2 linked regions of the Neurospora crassa OR74A genome follow. The protein of the gene in region 1 purifies or fractionates together with the protein of each later gene. This does not show direct contact. Links are inferred from orthologs where the notes say so. Each region holds a gene or a part of one and is shown in the gene's direction. Other genes may lie near its edges.

Evidence for each region. The genes of interacting proteins can lie anywhere in the genome.
Region 2: the proteins of NCU01643 (region 1) and NCU06226 purify together in Saccharomyces cerevisiae (affinity purification with mass spectrometry; 3 studies listed by BioGRID). This does not show direct contact. The link is inferred for Neurospora crassa OR74A from reciprocal best matches to the Saccharomyces cerevisiae genes RAT1 and RPL25.

Annotation. Positions count from the first base shown.
Region 1 is NC_026502.1:2,830,040-2,834,214, forward strand, and holds the start of NCU01643 (5'-3' exoribonuclease 2), read left to right. Parts: upstream 1-1,229; 5' UTR 1,230-1,724; coding exon 1,725-2,034; intron 2,035-2,111; coding exon 2,112-4,175. Other genes in the region: NCU01644 (intracellular protein transporter UsoA), read right to left, coding at 1-374. UniProt on the Saccharomyces cerevisiae protein: Possesses 5'->3' exoribonuclease activity. Required for the processing of nuclear mRNA, rRNA and small nucleolar RNA (snoRNA) precursors.
Region 2 is NC_026503.1:1,965,014-1,968,296, reverse strand, and holds NCU06226 (60S ribosomal protein L25), read left to right. Parts: upstream 1-1,134; 5' UTR 1,135-1,310; coding exon 1,311-1,335; intron 1,336-1,561; coding exon 1,562-1,626; intron 1,627-1,704; coding exon 1,705-1,997; intron 1,998-2,058; coding exon 2,059-2,146; 3' UTR 2,147-2,637; downstream 2,638-3,283. Other genes in the region: NCU06227 (hypothetical protein), read right to left, coding at 1-731; small zinc finger protein Tim8, read right to left, coding at 3,079-3,254. UniProt on the Saccharomyces cerevisiae protein: Component of the ribosome, a large ribonucleoprotein complex responsible for the synthesis of proteins in the cell.

The DNA of each region.
Region 1 (4,175 bases):
AAGTCGGTCGTGTCGAGCAGATCGAGCAGCAGCGTGATGTTCTCCTGGCGCTGGGTGAACTCGTCGGCGAGCCAGAGCGCAATCTCCTCTGAAGCTTCGGGGCTGTCTTCGTTGGGGCTGAAGAGCATCAGCAGGGTCTCGAGGACGACCTTGACCGTATCGACATCCTCGCCATCCCTGCTCAGACTCCCGATGAGACTTCGTAGAGCGCCAGAGGCTACTGAGGCCGGGTACTGCTTGGAGAAGCTGCGCAGACCGAGGATGGCGGCGCGGCGGTCTTCGAGGAGGGTCGCGGTGTTGAGACGGCCGCTGAGGACGGCAATGGTTTCGCTCACCGACTGCTTGGCCGGCGCCGCCGTAATGGTCGAGAACATGTTCGAGGATAGAGGTAGTGGACTAGTTTGGATGCCATGGAGGGAGGGACTGGAGGATCATGGCGTACGGCGGGGTGCGCGCATGCTCGAGGGTTAAGAGGTGTCGGATCACCACCTCTTGCGTCGTCGGGGTGTCAGTCAGGGGTAGGTACCTGTGTGGTCCCGCTATAGCGAGCGTAGTGGTACTTGCACCTGTAGCTTAGTGTATACCTACCTAGCACTCTGAGGTTCCGTTGGATCTTGGATGTACCCGGACAAAACGATTGGAAAATGGAAGGGCCCGCCTTGTTACAACCACCCGACTCGCTGCACACAAACGAAGCCAGGAAGTAGGTATGTACCTAGTTGCTTCCATGTGGCTAGTAGGTATACAACCAACGGAGGCCAACGGAATGAAACTAGGGGACAGGTGGTCCTTTCATACGAAAAGTCCAGCCCGCGCAACAATTGGCAATCATCAAGGCATGGTAAGTACCTTAGATACCTACACCTCTAGGTAGTAGTATTTATCATTTCATACCTTGGTTAGGGTCGTTTCGGGACTCATGGAAAGTACTATGATAGGTATATAATCGTGCAGTTCCATGTAATGCTATGTATAGGTAGTCTTTCGGATAAGTAAATGTCGGGTGTGTGTACCTCTACGGTTCCTGCGCCTCAATCATACCGTGCTCTGTTAGCCCGCACAACTGTTGATCATAGAGCGTCATGTGATGTTTCGATAAGCCGATAACAGGCTGCTGTGGCGTTGTCATTGGTCTTATCAGTGCTTATCGTCCCTTGCCGCATGGTCTTGGCACTCGTTGAACCCTTGAATTCTTTCGCATGTCAGAGCTCGGCGTTCTGTTCCGGTCTCGTCCTTCTCTCCCCAGTTCATCCCACTGCCACTCCATCACCACTTCTGCAATCGCTCACGTCTTATCCAACGGGCATTGCTGCAAGGACCGCTTTGCTGTGTCAATTTAGCCCGGATTCATTGAATTGGGCTTTCGACAAGGCGTGTCCTCAATCTTGCTGCGCCGTTTCCACAGTGCACTTTGAGGTGAACCTTGGTGGCTCTATCTGCGGTCACCTTGCGCGTGTTGTGCATCAGCATCTTTTGTTGCCCATACATCCGATCCCTTCGACCGACCTTATACCTCAGTCTGCTTCCATCAACATTCCTTTATTCGCTTTCCGTCGGTGCGAATTGAAGAACCCACTACGTTCACTTTCCGAACCACCCATCTCGTTCAGCGACTACCCCCGATCTTTCTCGCGACAACTACCTACTACATTTTATAGCCAACCACATTTTAACTACCGTCCCTACAAGTGCTATTCGTGTGACCACTCGATCGCCTTTGCAAGATGGGTATTCCGGCGGCTTTCAGGTGGCTGTCCACCAAGTATCCCAAGATCATCTCGCCCGTCATCGAGGATCAGCCGATTACTATGCCCGATGGCACCGTCATTCCTGTTGACGCGACCAAGCCAAATCCCAATGGCGAGGAGTTTGACAACCTGTATCTCGACATGAACGGCATCGTCCATCCTTGCTCTCACCCCGAGGACCGCCCCGCGCCCAAGGACGAGGAAGAGATGATGGTCGAGGTTTTCAAGTACACCGATCGCGTCGTCAACATGGTTCGCCCGCGGAAGCTTCTCATGATTGCTGTTGGTGCGTATCTCTCTTTCGCACCATCTCTGTCGCCCTACTTTGATTTAAGAAACGGGACTAACATAATTTCACCACAGACGGCGTTGCCCCCAGAGCCAAAATGAACCAGCAACGGTCCAGACGATTTCGCGCTGCCCGGGAAGCCATGGAAAAGGAGGAAGACAAGCAAAAGTTCGTCGAGCTGCTCAAGAAACAGAACGGCAAGCCCCAAGAGGAAGAACCCGTAGAGGTCGTCGTCAAGAAGGCTTTCGATTCCAACTCCATCACTCCTGGTACGCCCTTCATGGACATCCTGGCTGCCAGTCTCAGGTATTGGTGTTCCTATAAGCTCAATACCGATCCTGCCTGGGCCAACATCAAGGTCATTATCTCTGACGCCACCGTTCCGGGTGAGGGTGAACATAAGATCATGGAATTCGTCCGCTCCCAGCGTGGTTCCCCCAACCATGACCCCAATACTCGGCATGTCATTTACGGACTCGACGCCGACCTTATCATGCTTGGCTTAGCCACGCACGAGCCCCATTTCCGTGTTCTGCGTGAAGACGTCTTTGCCCAAGACAGCAGGCCGAGACTGTGCAAGATTTGCGGTCAAAAGGGACATGACGCCATGAACTGCAAGGGCGAGGCAAAGGAGAAGAATGGCGAGTTCGACGAGAAGGACGCAGTCGTGCCTCTCAAGCCCTTTATCTGGCTCCACGTTTCCATTCTCCGTGAGTACCTTGCCATTGAACTTGACGTTCCTGGCCTTCCCTTCCAGTTCAACTTGGAAAGGGCCATCGACGATTGGGTTTTCATGTGCTTCTTTGTCGGAAACGATTTCTTGCCTCACTTGCCTGCATTGGAGATCAGGGAGAACGGAATTGATACCCTAACGGCCATCTGGAAAGATAACTTGCCCGTAATGGGCGGATATTTGACCAAAGATGGCCATGCGGACCTTGAACGTGTCCAGTACATCATGGCCGGCTTGGCCAAGCAGGAAGATGCCATTTTCAGGAGGAGAAAGGAAACCGAAGACCGACGAGAGGCCGGTTTCAAGAGGCGCAAGCTTGCCGATGAGGCCCGACAAAGGAGAGCCCAAGGCAGTAGGCAAATACGTCAGGCGGCTGAGAATAGTGGTCCGCCAGCTGGATTTTCCTTTCACAAGATTAACGAATTTCCGGGCAAGGCTCCGCAACCATCAATCACTCATGACATGGTGGTGAACCGCCAGGCGGTTGACCAGGCCAATGTTGCCAACAAGAGTGCCGCTAGCGTGCTCAAGGATCAGATCAAGAGCATGATGGCGCAAGGAACGAGCACTCCAGAGAACGGTGCTGAGTCCACTGAGACTCCTGCTGAAACTGCTGCGGCCGCCCCGGCCACCGAAGAGCAAGCTGCTCCCCCAGCAGCCCTGGGTAAAAGGAAGGCTGAGCTTATCGAAGATGCTGTCGCTGGTCCCGAGGCCAGCAGTACCGAGGTGACCGAGATCAGCGAGAGTGATGCTGAGCCTACCGATTCGGTCAGGCTGTGGGAAGAGGGCTATGCGGACCGGTACTATGAGCAGAAGTTCAAGGTTGACCGTAAAGACATTGATTTCCGTCACAAGGTTGGCCGTGCGTATGCCGAAGGTCTTGCGTGGGTTCTGGAGTATTATTTCCAGGGCTGCCCCTCATGGGAGTGGTTCTACCCCTACCATTACGCGCCGTTCGCTGCGGACTTTGTTGATCTTGGCAAGATGGAGATCAAGTTTGAGAAGGGCAGAATTTCGCGGCCATTTGAGCAACTGATGAGCGTCCTTCCGGCCGCGTCTCGTCATGCCATCCCTGAGGTGTTCCACTCCTTAATGTTAGAGGAGACCAGTGAGATCCGCCATTTCTACCCCGATGACTTCGAGATTGATCTCAACGGCAAAAAGATGGCTTGGCAGGGTGTCGCCCTCCTTCCCTTCATCGACATGCCTCGTCTATTGGCTGCCATGGAGACCAAAAGTCATCTCTTGAGCCCAGAAGATCACCTCCGGAATGCACCGGGCAAGGATTATCTACTTCTATCTGATTCTCACCCAACACTGTACGATCACATCACGAGCCAGTTCTACTCCAAGAAGCAGGGTACGACCAAGTTCGAGCTGGATCCCACAAAGAGTGCTGGCCTCT
Region 2 (3,283 bases), on another chromosome or scaffold:
TCCAGATATCGCGAGTTGGTGACGCATGGGGCCGGTAGCACAAGGAACAAACTTGGAAAGAATGCAGCGGTTGTCCCGGAGAACCGCTTCGGCGATGTTAGAAATTGTGTCGTGCGGACCAGCATCTCGCCTCTGTCCTTATGGTCTGGGACAAAGTTGAGCACCAAAGAAAGGCTGATGATGTCAAACTTCTCCGACTCGTCCTTCGGCAACGGGCGCTCCATGAAGTCCTGCTCAAGAATCCCAGGCTCTTGGCTGTTGAGATCGATCCGAGTGATGTCGAAATGGTTACTTTGAGCACATGCGTTCTTTGTACTCAGCGCTCCAACTTCCAGCATGCGCAAGCGGCCTTCCTTATACTCCTCGGATGAGAGGTACGGCCCAACCCACTCCATGAGCACGTTGGAGCTGTCGCCGCCTCGGTCATGTCTCTGCCCCTGGAGACTTGCTTCCTGATATTTCTCGATACCACCCAAAGCCTCGATCTCCGCCTCAATTGCCGCGACCTGTGTGTTATCGTTCTTCTTCATAGCCTGCACCTTCCTCTTCTCTAGGAGATGGAGTTTGTTGATGATGGATTTCGTGGTTTTCCGCGCAAGTGACTTGGGCTTTGTGACCGTGGGCGGACGGCCTGCTGCCAGGTTTTTGACCACTCCCTTTTTCTTAGGTCGCGTAGCCATGGGCGGACGCCCAGCTGCAAGGTTCTTGCTTACTCCTTTCTTGGGTGCCATAGTCCTTCGTCGCGTGCTATGCTGTAACAAGTATATAGCCGCAAATAGTCGATCTTGTCGATACTGTGATCCGTCTCGGTGAGATTGGTTTTCGATTTCGATTGGTGGTTCGTGACACTGTAGTTAGCAAGACAACTACACCACGTCCTTGTCTGGAGGTCGTGATAGGCACAGAACAGCGAGGCTTGGAGCTGTGAAAATCCAAGGTGTCCTGCACCGACTTCATCCGACAGACCACGAGCAGAAGGAGGAAAGCTGGATCGGAGGGCGCATCATGACCTTCAAGGTTGAATGACGGAGTGCGTAGCGATAAAGTGATGATCGGAGGTCGAGATTCAAAATACTGTGGAGCATATTTCGCGAAAGTGGATATTCTGGTGTGGTTCAGAGCCCGTTTGCGCCAGTTTGCGCAGCTCAACCCCTGCCAGTACCACTTCAGCCACACTACCAAGCCACACAAATCCCGCGCGCACACTTTTTCCTCCCCCAAATTTTGGCCAAAAAGTGAACTTTCTCCTCTCCGACAACGACCAGCGAGAATCCCGATTTCTTAGCCCGACGACAGCAGAAATCGCAGCAATGGCCCCTAAGGATACCAAGAAAGGTACTTGAAGAAACCTCAAAATCTCACCAGCGACGATTCCACCAAGAATGAATTGAACGGCTCGACAAATATGCTCGCCCCGCGCACAATGCGGATCCTCCGTGTCGCGCAATGGCATTCGGAGGTGATGCACCAAAGCAGCAGCAGACTTTGCGAGTTTGGACAAGATTCTGGCATCATCTTGCTCCAGGCGAATGCTTTTGCTGACGAGGGACTCTATGGATAGGCGGTGCCTCTAAGGCCGGTAAGGGCGCTCAGGCCAAGAAGGCTGCCCAGGCTGCCCTCAAGGGTGTAAGTTTGCGACGACTCGCGATCCCTTCCCCCCTGGTGACGTTCTGATGCTGATTAGAGTTCTTTTTCTCTGTTTAGGTGCACTCGCACAAGAAGACCAAGGTCAGATACTCGACCACCTTCCACCGCCCCAAGACTCTTCAGCTGTCTCGGGCTCCCAAGTACCCTCGCAAGTCGATCCCTCACGAGCCCCGTCTCGATGAGCACAAGGTCATCGTCCACCCTCTCAACACCGAGGGTGCCCTGAAGAAGATCGAGGAGCAGAACACCCTCGTCTTCATCGTCGATGTCAAGGCCAACAAGGCCCAGATCAAGCAGGCTCTCAAGAAGCTCTATGACATTGACACCGTCAAGATCAACACCCTGATCCGGTTAGTTTTGGTCCCTATGGACCGGCATTAATATGGTTCTTGTTGCTAACTCCACTCACAGCCCTGACGGTTCCAAGAAGGCCTTCGCTCGCCTCACTGCCGATGTCGATGCCCTCGACATTGCTGCCACCAAGCTCGGCCTTGTCTAAACTAGCGATTTCATAGCTATGGGAAATACACAAGATTCGGGATAAAAACTATCTTCAAGGGATACATGGGTTTTACTGTTTAACGAAAAAGAAGTCGGCGTCTGATACCCCTTTGGCGTTTGGTCCATGGCATGGAAATGAAAGTTTTTATAACTATTCTGCCCGTTCCATCAGACATGACCAAATGGGCCATTATCCAAACTCCTCCCTTGCAAGCCATAGATCTACTTGCTCTAAGACTTGAATCTGACATCTTGTATTCTTGCTATCACCATGGACTCATTGTCGCATTGTTATCTGCACTTCTATAACCAATTATCCTGCACTGCGCATTGGGTCTGTGTTTGAAGATGAAGATGAGTATCCCGCTATCGCGCGCTCCCATATCATGCTACAAGAACCGCCTGTCATACTGTCTAAGTTCCTGAACAAATTCCCATGCCCTATAAACCCTTTTCCCTTCCAGTTCTACCTTTGATCCTTCCCCTGTCCCATCACATATATCGTACAAGCCTTCAGGCGTAACCGTAACAATTCCTCGAATGACTGTCTCTTAGAATTGTGACCAGAACCTCAATCGCAAGCCCTATCGCAGGGATCAACAAAGGTTCCCTAGCAAAGGGTGCTTCTCTGTACCCCCGTTCCGTCGTAGTAAGCCCGAGTGTACCAGACCCAGCCAGAACCACCATGAAAACAAGCGTCGGATACCTCGGCCGCATCCTCCAAGTCTCCCAAGAAGCCCACCAAGCAGGACCAGCCAACCGAAAAACGTAGCCAGCCAGCCCCGCGGGACAACCAGTTCCTCAAGGGAAACAAGTCACCGTTTTCGCCATCCTCCTTCCTCTGCCTCCTCTTTTCTTTTTGTCCCGTTCTCATCTTTTTTCCTCCTCCTGATAAGCATCCTCCCACGCCTTCCTATCGGCGCGCGAGACCTACTTGCTGCCACCCCTGGTGATCTTTTGCACGTGGGCCATGATGGTCAGGTTGACGTCCAGGAAGCGCTCAACGCAGTCCGCCATGCAGACGGCCTCGGTCTTGTCGAGCTGGTTGGTCTTGATGGGGGAGGTGACGCATTTCTTCCAGCAGGAATCGGTAAGGGCGTGGGTCTCTACACGTGGGAGGTAGCATGTTAGTTTA